4 linked regions of the Schizosaccharomyces pombe genome follow. The protein of the gene in region 2 purifies or fractionates together with the protein of the main gene of each other region. This does not show direct contact. Each region holds a gene or a part of one and is shown on either strand. Other genes may lie near its edges.

Region 1 (2,902 bases), 700 kb from region 2:
GCAATTGTATATACGAAAAATATAAGCATAAAGGTGAGGCTCTGGAGAAACAAAAAGCTATTGTGACATTTTTTTGGAATACAAATAATTTTGAAAGTTTTTGGGAATTTCGCAAGGATTTCGAACCCTTATATAAGAATCGAATTACAGTCATTTAACTATTGATCATTTGGTACTTTTTTACTCTTTGGTTTTATTTAAATCTTTCAAAAGGATGACGGGCGCAACGTTAACTGTTCGAGTAATTCGCAACTTTGAATATCGGACACTGAAAAACGTCGTTTTCCACGACATAGATCTGGCCACTACGACTGTAGACCAGTTCAAAAAAATCATCGATGAACGCATACAAACGGATCCCTCATTGAAAATCTACCGTACTACCCATTTTGACACGTTGAAGATTTATGTGAAAGCCCAGCAGCACAAAACCCAAAACTTGGCTATTAATTTAGACCACGATGATTGGATTCTTAATGATGGAGCCAAAACATTGTCTCTTTGTGGAATTGAAAATGAAACTGAGTTGTCCTACTTTGAACTTGCTGCCTACAAGGCCTATCAAGCAAATCCTGTACAAAAATGGCTTTAGACATGCATAACTTTATTAAGAGTTCAATTGTTGGTGTTAGGAATAGGAGATGAGTTTACCTTTGTTATTTAAATTGAATATTTTTCAAACTACGCTAAAAAATTCCTGATGTCTTTATTAGTGCAACTATTTAAAATTACCTAGGTCGCTGTTGCAATTCATGTATTGACAATAGCAGAATGCATTGTAGTGAGCAAAAGTATGTAGAATAATAAATGATACAAAACAATACGCATTTTAAACCAAATGTTGTAAACATCGACTTTATGACTTGGTACCAATAGCACCAAGGACGTCCCTATCTACATATTTATATAAGAACAAAACATTTCTCATTCATCAAAACGCTACACCAATACTTAATAAAAAGTTATTTTAAAAACAAGCAAAAAAAGAGTTGCGCGGCCAGGTTTCGATCCTGGGACCTACGGGTTATGAGCCCGTCGGAGTTCCACTCTCCTACCGCGCACAAATACCGTCACCAGCAGGATTTGAACCTGCGCGGGCAAAGCCCATTAGATGACTAGAATACAGGATTCAAGTCTAACTCCTTAACCACTCGGACATAGTGACTTTAGCTGTACATTTATCATGAAATGTAATTTATATAGCCAAAATCAAAAATTTCTATGTAATTTTTGATAGGAAGTTTCCAATGCTCAAATGGTTGATTTCACAAAAGCATTGCTTTATGTTAAGAAAATATTGTTTTTGGTGTTAGAATATATTTTTTTTATTATCAAAGTAAACTCCTAAAACTACAAGCTTGTCTATTCAGCTTAATTTCCATAAGTAGCTAGTGTTCATCCTTCAATTCAATGACTTTGCATTTGAAAGGATAGTTAGTTTATGAGACCTTAGGGATTTTGTGATTAAGTAGTCCAATTATACTTCTAATGTTATAATCAATAAACAATTACAATGCATTCAGTTTTTTATATCCCACATTGAAAGTTGTCAGGTATGAGTTAAAGTGTGTGATTAAAAGATTTTTTTTAATTAATAATAAGATATAGTAAAATATTGAACCGAAATTGATTTTCAACATTTCGCTTCTAACTTGAAATCCATTTTGTGCAATCTTGAACTTGCTCGTTAAATAGCACTTGTCCTTGACCCCCAAGAGACTTAAAATTCTACCATTTTTGATATTCCTAGCTTGTATCGTTCTAATGGCGTATGTCTTTTGTCCTTTTATCTAAAATTTTTTGATTTCTTTTTTCTAATAATTTAGCGATTTGGTTGATAAACCTAGAAGTGAACTGAGCGAAATAGAACTCGCTCGTCTAGAAGAATATGAATTCTCTGCTGGTCCATTAAGTGTTTTACAACAAGGTATACTATATGATAGAATGTCAATTTTAAATTTACATACTAATGGCTCTTCTGTTTTAGCGGTAAAAAATCATGATCAAGTTCTTATTAATTGTCGAAACAATAAAAAGTTGCTTGCTAGAGTAAAGGCATTTGATCGCCATTCCAACATGGTATTAGAAAATGTCAAAGAGGTAATAATTTTTTTCATCTTTTAGTCTCTCTTTCCATCCACACTTGCTAATATATTCTTAGATGTGGACCGAAAAAAAACGAACAGCTTCTGGCAAAAAAGGAAAGGCTATCAACAAAGATAGATTTATTAGCAAAATGTTTCTTCGTGGTGATGGTGTCGTTCTTGTTGTCCGTATTCCCTCTGCATAATATACCCCATTTTCCTACCTAATGGATACTTAAGTTAGAAACGACTTCAAAATATCCCGATGTGCTTACAAAAAACTATTTTATACGTGTGTTAACTTTATTATTAATTAAAGATATCTTTATTTGAAAATAAAAAAGGCTCCATCTGTAGTGTCTCTCTAGTTGTGCCTTGAATGTCTTTCGTAAAAAAAAGCGAATGAATTGCAGAAAGCTTTCAGATGTAGCACCCATCTTTCCTAAGAGATTTATTATATAAAAAAAAGAATGGTTATGACACAAAAATCATATTATTTTCATTACAAATATACAATGCTAGCATATTCATTACTGTGTAAGTGCATCATGGACTCCATGCTTCAATACATCCTCAATCTTCCAACGAGGAGGTTTAAACCAACCTTGATTTTTCTTCATCTTTTCAACGTTAGTCTTACCCACATCTTCACCAGCTGCACCGGTGGAAAATTTCAACTGAAGCTTCTCACCAACTTCATCACAAGCTCTCAAAAAATAATCCATGTCGGCTTTATTGTGACTAGCGGAGAAACAAAACCTCACTCTAGAGGTCAACAAAGGACAGGCAGGATACCCAACAACAACAACGGCAATTCC
Region 2 (3,829 bases):
GGGTGCCTTAGTTGGTACTTCTCATATCCGCCTCGCGTGGGGTCATAATACGCTTCCTGTATCTGCCTTGTCTCAATCTCAATCCCAAGTTTCAGATGAGGGCTTCGACAGAACTCTTTCCGCTAACCAAATTTTCGGTATGAATCAATCTGTCATTGGAGCAAACTCTGGCAGCTCAAACTCATCCGGCTCTAGCTTGAAGAGTGCACCTGTTTCACCTCGTACTGCTGCTGCGCAATCTTTGTTGCCAAACTCCGTTGTTTCCTCAATCAATGGCATGAACTCCGTAAATTTTTCAACCATTTCTCCACCTCCTTTGTCTCGTTCAGCCTCCATTTCTCCTACGTTGTCCGGTAGTGGCTCAGGTTTGACACCTCTTTCTTCCCATTTCCCTTCAGCTGCCACTGGCTTGGTAGGCGGACAGGTGTATCCTCAGTCTTCTGTTTTGCAATCCTCAAAAATTAATGGTTCTGCAAAGGTCCAGCCTAGTGTGAAGCTCCCCGAATGGTTGCAGCCTTTTTCCGGCAACAATCATAACTCCTTTGCTACTCAAGATTTATTAACACGTGTTTCCTCCTTAAAGTTGGTTGATGATGAGCAACCTGCTTCTTTGAATGGTTCAGCATTTCAAGCGAGAGCTTCTAGGCCTTGGAACCTAGGAAGGGAGCGTCAGTCTTCACTAATTGATCTCCGTCATGAGTTGGAGCAAAATGAAAACGGTTTGGAGAAATCCGGCTTTGGTTTGAACTTGAGAGGTCGCTTGCCTCCTCGTTCTTATTCTACATTTAATTGTACTGGTCAATACTTGCAACCTTCTCTACGCTTGTCACGCGATTCATAAATTATTTTTATGATGTTTGAAATGCATTACTACTACTACTATTTGTTTCTTCCACTTCTCTTCTTAAGTGAAGGGATTTCCCGAATATTCTTGTTTTATTTCTAATGTTTTTGTTTTAATTTTTTATTTATTTTCGTTTTTCAAAGGCATCCGTATAAGTTTTCGAGGGCTCCTGATCAAGTTAGTTTAATGTCTTAAAGAACTGAAGGGTGCTCTCGTGATTTTTTTTATTTTGTTTTGTTTTTATTCTTGTATGTTAAATCTCTCTTGTGATGTTTTTTATAACTGTTGAATATTATTTGTGCCAAGGATTGTTTTATTTATGATTGTTTTATTTTTCTTTCATTGCTGTTGTTCCTTAATGCACATATGTACATGAAAACTTCCATTGAGGTTTTTCAAACGTCCAAATCTTTTTTTTGGATCGATGAGTTATTTATATGTTTTATTTTAAAATGTCCTTTCCAAAAAATAATTTTGTTATTTTTTCTTCTGATTTTCTAAATAATTAAAAGCATTGTTTTTGTTTTCAACTTATATAATGGAAATTTTCCAGTGACTGTAGTAGATATTGGTAGCTTGTCGATTGTAGCTTTTCAATTAAAAGTTTTAAATCTGAAACTTGAATTTCAAACACATTTCTCTAAAATTAGTCGAAAAAAATGTAAGTCAATTGAACAAATACTTTTCTGATGCTTTGCATTATCCGATGCACCTCTTCAGTATGTGCCATAATATTAAATGCCCAAGTAAAGACATTTATGTTTATCCCTTTCTAATTTTCACAGAACATAAAAACATCATTTTAATTAAGACTTTATATGATTTTTTTTTTACAAAAATAGCTATTCAATATGAAAGATTGGTAGAAATATGTTTGCCTAGAAAGTAGCACCCATTTACCAACATGCGACGATACTTAAAAAAGGCGAAGCCTAAAATCGTGCAAACGAGCGACAATGAGGAAGAAAAGCATGAAGAAAATTTAAACGTTTCTCAATCAAGTAAGAACTTAAAAGCGCAAAAGTGCTTGGGCTCGAATAGAACTTATTATCGCAAGTGTACTAACAATGCTTAGACAAAAATGCAAATAGAAGAAAAACAAAAGCGAAAGAAAAAAATTCGGGAAAATTTAGGGTGAAATATGAGAACGAGGTAAGTTGTTTTTTGCTGGAAAACGTTTTACCAATTCATCTGTTATATTAACAAACATTGATTAGGAAGGAGACGACGATGGGGAGGATTCTCAAATCCCTTTGATTCCAAAGGTAAAAAAGCAAAGCTCTTTTCATTCGGTTGATGATTTGTAAGTAAAATGTTTTAAGTCCAAGTATTAGTTATCTAATTAATAAAGAATATCGCGAAGAATGGATGCTCTCTCGCATGAAAGTGGATACTCCAATGCTTATGTGGATGAGTTAAAGAGAAAAAGTAGGCAGACACCATCAGAATTTACAAAGAAGGAGGAGGATTCCTCGACCAAAGAAAGCGAATTGCAAACAAGATCGTCACCTCCTTTACCCGTTAATACTAGTTTGGAATGGAATATGCTTAATCAAGGCATTCCTGAGGAAGCAATGATTAAGGAGTTAAAGGATCGAGAAGGAAGAAAGAGAAACATTGCCATGATGACGGATAATTACATTTCACTTGAAACAGGGGACCAACTGATGTTGGCACAAAATCATAAAGAAGAGAAATTGCTTCAAACGGAAGACGAAATTCAAGATGAAGGTTACTCTGGATTTGAAAATTACGTGGAGGAGTCAGAAAAACTTCAAGAAATATACCACCATAGCTCGGAAAGTTTACGGACACGATCAATTCAAATGGCCGTCGACCAGAAAAATATGGAGATGGAATTGGACGATGAAGACATAGCAGAGCCCATCCAATCATGGGAACATACTCAAATCAAGAAAGGTGCCTTTGGAGAATCTCCTGCTTTTACAAATGGACTTTCTGTGAAGCTTCCTAATATTCTTACAATGGATGAACAAATTCAGCGGCTAAAAGAAGCAATAGCTTCTGAGAAGCTTCAGCAGGAGGAGCGTTCACAGATTATTAAATCACTTATGGAAGAAGAACTCGAGATTAATGAACAAGAGGAAAAGATTAAACATTCTTTCATTGATTTAGATAAAACTTTGTTGAACAACCTTACCAAAAGCAAATCCTGATTTACTTTGGATTTTTTAATTGATAAAAAAAAAACAAAGAAGAAAGACATGGTCGATAAATTTACTTAACGCTATAACTTAGATTTACATTTCTTACAGAACTCTTATCCTTGTACAGTATTAATTAGCTGTTACAGCCCATCGGTGACTTGTTGAAATAGAAAAACAGTGCCAAGAAGTCACCGGGAATTACAAAAAAATAATGACCCGATATTTATGGAGATAATAGATATTAATTGCTAGAAGATTTCATTAGCTTTATCACATATTAAAGTTATAGCCTCTGAGTATTCAAAACTTTAGTAAGTAGCATTGTCACTTACAATGGATTTTGTGTGTTGAAGAGAATACATTTTACCTACTGCCAAAAAGTGGGTTTACAATAAGACTTGTCATTTTATCGTCTCAATGGCTCTGAAAAGAAGCTATTATGCGTCAAAAGATGATTATTCGACGAAAAGAATCCTCGAAATTATCGAAAGGCCATTGAAGAAGCTTACAATAGAGGATACTTCAGAATATGATGGTATGTATACTATCGATTAACCTTTTGAATAAATTTAAAAGGGAAAGCGAATTCTCTTACAATATCCTTTATTCCATGTCAATATATTAACAGTCGGTGCAGATTCTGATATTGAAATGCCAACCTGCAAGCGTGTAGCTTACTACAAAAATGAGTACACAATTGTTGTAGAAGACTTGGATGCTGAACTGGAAGAAGATGACAGCATAAATAAGCCTACAGAAGAGGCTGACGAAGCTCCACGGACACAACTTTCTGTGATCTCTCCTTTGGAAAAGAAAT
Region 3 (4,187 bases), on a different chromosome or scaffold from region 2:
AGCAATGCAGTTTACTAAAGGCAAAAAATCATTCGGCATCCTAGCAATCAAAACAACCCAAGCTTCACCAGCCTCGGCAAAAAGCCTTCCTAGTGCACGAAAAGTTTCTGGGTCATCACAGGCCGCAATAAGTTTAGGCTGAAGTTCAAGTAAACGTGGATAGAGCATCAGTATGGCATCAGTAGTTTCATCAACATCTTTAGTCTCATTAAAAAGGGCACATAGAAATTCTACAGCATCTTCTAACAGTAAGTCATCATCCAGAGAACGGAAAGCAAGTTCAATTAAGGGAGAAGCCATAACTTTATCAAGGGGAATTTCTCTCAACCAGGAAATCAAACTCGTAAGAACAAGACCAAGGTCAGCGCTCGAAGGAGATCCTGAAGCACGGACAGCATCGACATATTGCACCAGAAGCTCGAGTACTGCTGGACCGTTATCACGAAGAAGTTCATCAACACGAATACATAACTCCTCCCAACTCAATGAAGTTTTCCTTGGATCACTAGCTTCTTCAGGGAGTACTGATAAAAACTGTAAAACACATCTTCCACTGGGGTCTTTGGAGCTACAGGCTTGAAAAACATCGGCTATAACATTATGCCATTCAGTCATATGTAAAGCAATTGCAGCCATACAAACAGCCAATGATACCAATAAAGGTCTTGGACTATCTTTAGCTGCTAAAAATAACTGTAGCAAGGAATTACGAAATTCAATATGTGTTTCCTTAGGTAGCTGATGAAAATCGTATACAATTTTTTGGCGCAAAGTTTGTGCGGCAAATAACTTTGCTTCAATGCTGCTGTCATCTTGATTCAAAATTGAAAAACATATTTGCCATGCAGCAGGCTAAAAATATGCAGGTTAACATCATCCAGTTCAAATCTCTGACTGACTTACACTTTTCTGAAACTCTTCTAAGTAGTTGTTTGCTTGAAGTTTCTGCTCACGATCAGTGTTGGCATACAAAGTAGCCAAAGCACTTAACAACGTTTCCATGAGGGCATAAAAATCACTTAGATTGATTGCTTTACGCACTGGCAGCGTGTGTTTTTGTTTCGGTTCAGACCTGTAGTAGCAGTAAAAGACCTATTTAAGGAACAAGTAACTTATACCTCTTTATTACAGTATTCGGGAGGTTTTCCATGATCATTATAATAAATAGCATTCAAGGCATTATGTCTCAGTATAACGTTGATTTTTAATTTTAATACATTTGGTAGAGTAAAAACTTCAAATGTTAGAAAATAAAATTTGCTTAGGTATTCCAATTGCTATTTACATAGCTACCATAATAATATAATTCTAGCCACATAAAGTAGTTTCGCGTGCTATATTTTATATATCCGAAATACAATGTAAAGCGCATAGTAGTCTGTTTCCTAATAATACTGGCAAACATATGGATTATATAATATCTAATGTATGAAACATCCGTTTGATGCAGCTGGTAGAACCTAATTTAGAGCTGTTCAAGGATTCTGATTTCCAAATATTTATCAGATTTTGGCTATTTTCATTACAGTCTTCTTCATTTCTATTGTCAAATCTTTTTGAATCTATGGATATTAATCGTCTAAATTAATGTAATTTTTGCTGAACTTTGATAACTTGTTTATTGTTTTTTTTTAATGTCATTTTTTACTGAGTAGCTACTCACGCTAAAGTACATTTCTTGCTTTTCTCAATCATTTAAACAAGTGAATTGTCCATAAATTGTCTAATAAAAATAACAATACAATCTTGGCTGCTTTGATTGAAGTTTAGCAACCTACACTTTTGTATGTATGAAAGTCGATAAAAAATTAAAACAGCTTATTGAAGATCAAATTACATATCTAAAAAAAATAAAAAAAAAATAAAGGATCGATAAACATTGATCCATGTGGTACAAATTTATTGAAGAGGTTTTTGGTCTTGGCTAAATATCCACTAAGTCAGTGCTGACAGGCCGCCAACTGCACCATTGCACAACCATCTATAGAATTTCGTTTTTTGATAAAATAAGTTTTCAAGATGTCAGGACGCGTGCAAAAAGTTATGATACCTCCTATTGTATGGTTAATTGTTGTTGGATAGCTAACTTACGCAGAATTTCATTTTCAAATTGTTGCAACAACATACTCCTGTTTCAATTTGGCTGTTTGAACAAACAGATATAAGACTTCAGGGACAAATTAGGGTAAGAAATTTACTTTATGGAAAATCCCTTCATAGTCGTTGGCCTAGGATTTTGAAATACCTTCATTTTCCCTACGACAAGTTGATGAATTGCTAACGATATATGACAGGGCTTCGACGAATTTATGAACATTGTGCTTGACGATGCTGTGCAAGTAGATGCTAAAAATAATAAAAGGGAGTTAGGTAAGCCTGATTTTAGACGAATAAAACCTTGGTTTATGTGAAAGAATGTTCGGTGGGATTTTATTCAAAAGTCTTTACATGAAGCAAAAATAATAATAGATGCATGTCTTAAGCTGATTTACCAAATTGCGTTTCCAGCAACCTTACAAATTCTAAAACAAACCGTTGATGCAGATTTTTGTTCTAAAATATTTAACAATTTCCCAAACCAATTGCTAACATTGCTTAGGTAGAATTCTATTAAAAGGTGATAATATTACACTAATTCAAGCAATCTAATTTTTTTCCTTTTTGCTGGATTTCTTTTGCTTTTTCTTCTTAGGTTTTTCTTCCTCATCCTTCTTTTCCCTTTTTCCCTTTTTCAATTCCTTTTGCTTTTCCTTCCCTTTATTTTGTAATTCCTCTACTGTAGCATCACCAGTCTCTTGTAAAATATGTTCTTTGATGCCAGACTTGGGTTCAGCTTCAGGTTCCGATTCAGGCCCTACAGCATCTCCAATCGGGCGAAAATGCTGTCTCAGATTCTTTCTTTGAGGAACAAGTGGTGCCTGCGTAGGTATTGTAATACCAGTATCAATGTTTTGTGAAATTTTGGGGGTCTCTGTAATCACATATCCAGTTTTGATTTCATTTGACGTATAGGAACCTTGCTCGTCAGGTAAAAACACACGTACGGAGCTTGTTGATTCTTCTCGGATTTGATAGGTGTTTTCGTTCTCCTGCTTTAATTCTACTGTAGGTTTGGAGCCTACCTTTAGCTGACTTATTTGGTCAGCGGACATGCCAGGCGGAAGTCGTACTAAAAAAACATTGGACTCCTTTTTCAAGTCATTAGTGGTCAAAACAGGCTTTCCTTGCACTTTCTCTAAACCAGCAATTTCTGCAACATCTTCTTGTGCGTTCGATTCGCCGTGATTGTTGCTCTCCACGGATTGTTCAGGTTCTTTCGACGAATGCTGATCCTCTATGCTAGAAACGCTAGATTCATCTTCTGAACTTTCCTCGTTTACAAATTCACTTGATTTTGCCATATCTACGCCCCAGTAGAATTTAAAGTGAAATTTTGCAAGCGTACCTGTATTTTGCTCTGGTGAGCTTGTGGGTCACAACGTAGGTATCATCGAGCTGGATAACGATGCACAAGGTAGTATTCATATTAAAGGAACTTTTATGTGATGAAACAAAAAATAAAAAGTATGTGGTTATAGCAAGAACTCTACTTCTTAGGTAAAGAAAAAAGTTAAAATGGAGCAATCGGTTCACTACTTTATTTTTTCGGCTTAAAAAATGTTGTTTTTCTAGAAATTAATATTCCCAACATCTTTCTTTATCTAGTAGATAGGGATTTTTTTTTTTTTTTTTTAAGTTGTCTGACAATTGCTTCTGTAAGGATCGGACTACTAAGAACGGTCGCAGCTTGACGCGACCAGTTGCTTAAAGGATGTAGTATTATTTTGTGTTTATGTAAAATGGATATCAATTGTAGGAAGAAGTGAGGTACACATAACTAAAGAACGACGTATATATATGTTGTATACAGAGTGTAAACACAATGAGTCAAAATTTAAAACTGAAAAAAAAATACATATCTGCAAACATTTCCTCTTCAATGCCTCATGTATGTGGAAATTGAACAATTATCAACCTCGGCCAGCATAGGCATTGTAGATGCCTCACTCTTACAAATAAAAAGGCAAGAGAAAGATAAATGCTTTTTGGAGAGAAAGAACGTGAGGAAGAAATCAACCAACACCTTTTCATCACAGATACCTTCTAGCAATTGAACGGACCTTTAAATCAAAAGCCTGAGAACGAAT
Region 4 (3,331 bases), on a different chromosome or scaffold from region 2:
ATTTTGTATATCTATTAATATTCATACATGGCTAACTTTGGTTCTATTGTAGCACACAACTTTGACTTTTATCAAGTTAAGCAGCAGAATAATTTGGATTTCTATGCTTGCATTAAATTGGTAAATTACATTCGGTCTCAAGTCAAGGAAGGAAAAACACCAGATTTGGACAAACTTTCCGACATTTTACGGTCCGACGAATACATGATTTCTGTACTCCCTGACGACAGTGTACTCTTCTCGCTTGGCGATGAACTCGATTCAGATTTTGAGGACGACAATACTCTCGAAATTGAAGTAGAGAATCCAGCAGATGTTTCTAAAGATGCAGAAATAAAGAAATTAAAGTTACAAAATCAACTTCTTATCTCTCAGCTTGAAGAAATTCGAAAAGATAAAATGAATGAATTGACTAGTCAGACTACAGATCAGCTATCAGTTACCCCAAAGAAAGCAGATAACGATTCTTATTATTTCGAGTCTTACGCTGGAAATGATATTCATTTCCTTATGCTAAACGATTCTGTCCGGACCGAGGGATACCGTGACTTCGTTTATCATAATAAGCATATTTTTGCTGGAAAAACGGTTTTGGATGTAGGATGCGGTACTGGCATTTTATCCATGTTTTGCGCAAAGGCTGGCGCCAAGAAGGTTTATGCTGTGGACAACTCCGATATCATTCAAATGGCTATCTCAAATGCTTTTGAAAATGGTCTTGCTGATCAAATTACTTTTATTCGTGGAAAAATCGAAGATATCAGTTTACCGGTTGGCAAGGTAGATATCATTATTTCGGAATGGATGGGCTATGCTCTAACGTTTGAGAGTATGATTGATTCCGTCCTTGTTGCCAGAGATCGCTTCCTTGCACCTTCTGGAATTATGGCACCGTCCGAGACACGATTGGTACTTACAGCTACCACAAACACTGAATTGTTAGAAGAACCTATTGATTTCTGGAGCGATGTGTATGGTTTCAAAATGAATGGCATGAAGGATGCTTCTTATAAAGGTGTTAGTGTACAAGTCGTTCCTCAAACTTATGTTAACGCCAAGCCTGTTGTTTTTGCAAGGTTTAATATGCATACGTGCAAAGTTCAAGATGTCAGTTTTACTTCCCCCTTCTCTCTAATTATAGACAACGAAGGACCGCTTTGTGCTTTCACTTTATGGTTTGATACGTATTTTACGACTAAGAGAACACAGCCTATTCCAGAAGCTATTGATGAAGCTTGTGGATTTACAACAGGCCCTCAAGGCACTCCTACTCATTGGAAACAATGCGTTTTGTTACTACGTAATCGTCCTTTCCTTCAAAAAGGCACTCGTGTTGAAGGAACTATTTCCTTTTCAAAAAATAAAAAAAACAATCGTGATTTGGACATTTCGGTTCACTGGAATGTAAATGGGAAAGCTGACTCTCAAAGCTACGTGTTGAATTAGGATCAAAGTCTTTACTTAAAAATATAGAATTACTGATTAATGTTACTATGCTGTAGGTTTTTGGATTAGGAATCTTGCTGGGGTTTTAAGGCATTTCCTGTAAAATTATTTCCCCAGAGTGGGAATACGGTGGATCGAAAAAATCATCTAGTCTTAAAATATTCTCTATTTTCTATACTACTAAAAAATAACATTTTTTCAATCTTTTAAATATGGAAATTTGAGTACATAAGGATTAAACTATCAACAACTGCACAATGCTTGGGAAAGATTTTTAACGTGAACTATTATTATCGTTGATTTTTTGTTACGATTTGATTATATTTAAGGGATCTCTAAAAATAATTGTGACTTGAATCATAATTCAGATGACTAGCGTTCAATGGTCGTAGAATTGCAAATAAACATATTTCGTTCCGGAAAATTAAATATGGATATTTATAGCCTTAAAAGATAAATTAAAAATGTAAAAGCTTTAGCATTTTAATGTAATTAAGACGAGCCTTTTCAACAATCCATTCAATAAGTTAACTCATAGCGATTGTTAGCGCGCAGTGTTTGCAGGTAAAAATATAAGGTAAAGAGTTCAGCATTTGCAAAACACCAAACTAGGGCGAAAATGAATCAAAATACACTTTATGTGAATAATTTGAATGATAAAATTAATAAAAATGATTTAAGAACAGCACTATATATGCTATTCTCCACTTATGGGACCGTGGTTGATATTGTCGCGTTGAAAACTCCCAAGATGAGAGGTCAAGCTCATGTTGTATTCTTTGATCCCTCTGCCGCTGCAATTGCGATGAAGGCCTTAAAAAATTTCATATTCTTCGGAAAGGAAATGGTATGCTGTGAAATGAGCTTTCTCATTAATCCCCATAAAAAAACAAAAACGATTGACTAACATCTTTAATAAGAAAATTCAATACGCTCATTCGAAAAGTAAGATTATTGAAAGAATCGTCGCCGAAAATGACAGCAGAGGTCCTTTAAAACGGCTACGTGATGAAGCTGACCTTGAGTAAACTGTACATTTTCTAAAATTCACAATTATCGTTTTATATAGGGTAACTTTTTTCGGGATCCTGTTGGAGTCAAGAGAGTTATAAAGAGTGGTTTTCCTTTTTCTCTCTTTTTGTTCTTCACTGTATATACCTGTTGGTTTTAGTTGTTTCAGGTGTCAGTGTTTGCAGACAGTAAAGCGGACCGATAACACCATCGCATTGTTGCTAAGTTTTATAAGATGAAGCAAAATTCTAGTCCAATATCATCTTGTTTACAGCTATTTTAGTGGATTTTTCATGCAAGTCTTTCTCAACTAGCATTGCGCAAGGCACTGAACTTTAACGCATTTGATGGAATTGTTCACCTGGCTTCAACATCGCTCGTCGTCTTTCTTACAATGGGAAAGGATGTAGCATTGGATTTTCTTCCATCAAGCTTGTATAGCTGTACTTGTTCTTGCGATGGAAAATTGGCTTTTTGCGATTCAGAAAAAGTCCAAATCTTGGTACATATCTCAAATTGACGTGTTCGAGACTAGCTAATTCCCTTCAGGTACCTTCAACTGAAGCCAATACGCCTAAGTTTATGAAGGCGCTAGCCTATTTAGATGATGTGGAAGATGAACTACCAAATTGCCAAATGCTTGCTCGTATGTTCCCAATGCCCTTTGATGCTTATGAGAGTATAAAAGCTAACGTGTTTTACAGCTAATGAGCTTCGTTTAGGAGATCTAACTCCAAGTGTCATAAGCCGCTATGTGGTCTGGTCGCCAACAGGTCTCGCAGACAATTACGAGTATGTTCTTAAAAAGAGAAGACTTGAGTTTGACTTTACTTAACATTCCACTCGGTTTGTGTTTTTGTGCGTAAATATTTCT

What was found.
Region 1: the proteins of ntr2 (region 2) and smd2 purify together in Schizosaccharomyces pombe (affinity purification with mass spectrometry, with the first as the bait; one large-scale study listed by BioGRID). This does not show direct contact.
Region 3: the proteins of ntr2 (region 2) and sme1 purify together in Schizosaccharomyces pombe (affinity purification with mass spectrometry, with the first as the bait; one large-scale study listed by BioGRID). This does not show direct contact.
Region 4: the proteins of ntr2 (region 2) and msl1 purify together in Schizosaccharomyces pombe (affinity purification with mass spectrometry, with the first as the bait; one large-scale study listed by BioGRID). This does not show direct contact.

What each region holds. Positions count from the first base shown.
Region 1 is NC_003424.3:4,263,412-4,266,313, reverse strand, and holds smd2 (Sm snRNP core protein Smd2), read left to right. Parts: upstream 1-1,722; 5' UTR 1,723-1,764; coding exon 1,765-1,769; exon of another isoform or gene 1,770-1,826; coding exon 1,827-1,927; exon of another isoform or gene 1,928-1,954; intron 1,955-1,987; coding exon 1,988-2,100; intron 2,101-2,161; coding exon 2,162-2,290; 3' UTR 2,291-2,361; downstream 2,362-2,902. Other genes in the region: protein aim29, read left to right, coding at 215-592; serine palmitoyltransferase Lcb2, read right to left, coding at 2,615-2,902. UniProt on the Schizosaccharomyces pombe protein: Plays a role in pre-mRNA splicing as a core component of the spliceosomal U1, U2, U4 and U5 small nuclear ribonucleoproteins (snRNPs), the building blocks of the spliceosome.
Region 2 is NC_003424.3:3,567,459-3,571,287, reverse strand, and holds ntr2 (spliceosome complex disassembly protein Ntr2), read left to right. Parts: upstream 1-1,742; 5' UTR 1,743-1,748; coding exon 1,749-1,845; exon of another isoform or gene 1,846-1,919; coding exon 1,920-1,996; exon of another isoform or gene 1,997-2,061; coding exon 2,062-2,147; exon of another isoform or gene 2,148-2,195; coding exon 2,196-3,021; 3' UTR 3,022-3,306; downstream 3,307-3,829. Other genes in the region: RNA-binding protein Csx1, read left to right, coding at 1-841; SPOM_SPAC17A2.07C (uncharacterized protein), read left to right, coding at 3,430-3,547, 3,650-3,829.
Region 3 is NC_003423.3:1,762,966-1,767,152, reverse strand, and holds sme1 (Sm snRNP core protein Sme1), read left to right. Parts: upstream 1-1,956; 5' UTR 1,957-2,019; coding exon 2,020-2,058; intron 2,059-2,095; coding exon 2,096-2,185; intron 2,186-2,294; coding exon 2,295-2,370; intron 2,371-2,532; exon of another isoform or gene 2,533-2,599; coding exon 2,600-2,649; coding exon of another isoform or gene 2,650-3,401; 3' UTR 3,402-3,687; downstream 3,688-4,187. Other genes in the region: karyopherin Mtr10, read right to left, coding at 1-852, 904-1,002; DNA-directed RNA polymerase I complex subunit Rpa34, read right to left, coding at 2,646-3,401; TRAPP complex subunit Trs20, read right to left, coding at 4,131-4,187. UniProt on the Schizosaccharomyces pombe protein: Involved in pre-mRNA splicing. Binds and is required for the stability of snRNA U1, U2, U4 and U5 which contain a highly conserved structural motif called the Sm binding site. Involved in cap modification.
Region 4 is NC_003423.3:1,374,456-1,377,786, reverse strand, and holds msl1 (U2 snRNP-associated protein Msl1), read left to right. Parts: upstream 1-2,034; 5' UTR 2,035-2,065; coding exon 2,066-2,293; exon of another isoform or gene 2,294-2,366; coding exon 2,367-2,474; 3' UTR 2,475-2,798; downstream 2,799-3,331. Other genes in the region: ribosomal protein arginine N-methyltransferase Rmt3, read left to right, coding at 53-1,446; transcription factor TFIIIC complex subunit Sfc9, read left to right, coding at 2,852-2,959, 3,007-3,103, 3,162-3,249. UniProt on the Schizosaccharomyces pombe protein: Involved in pre-mRNA splicing. This protein is associated with snRNP U2. It binds stem loop IV of U2 snRNA.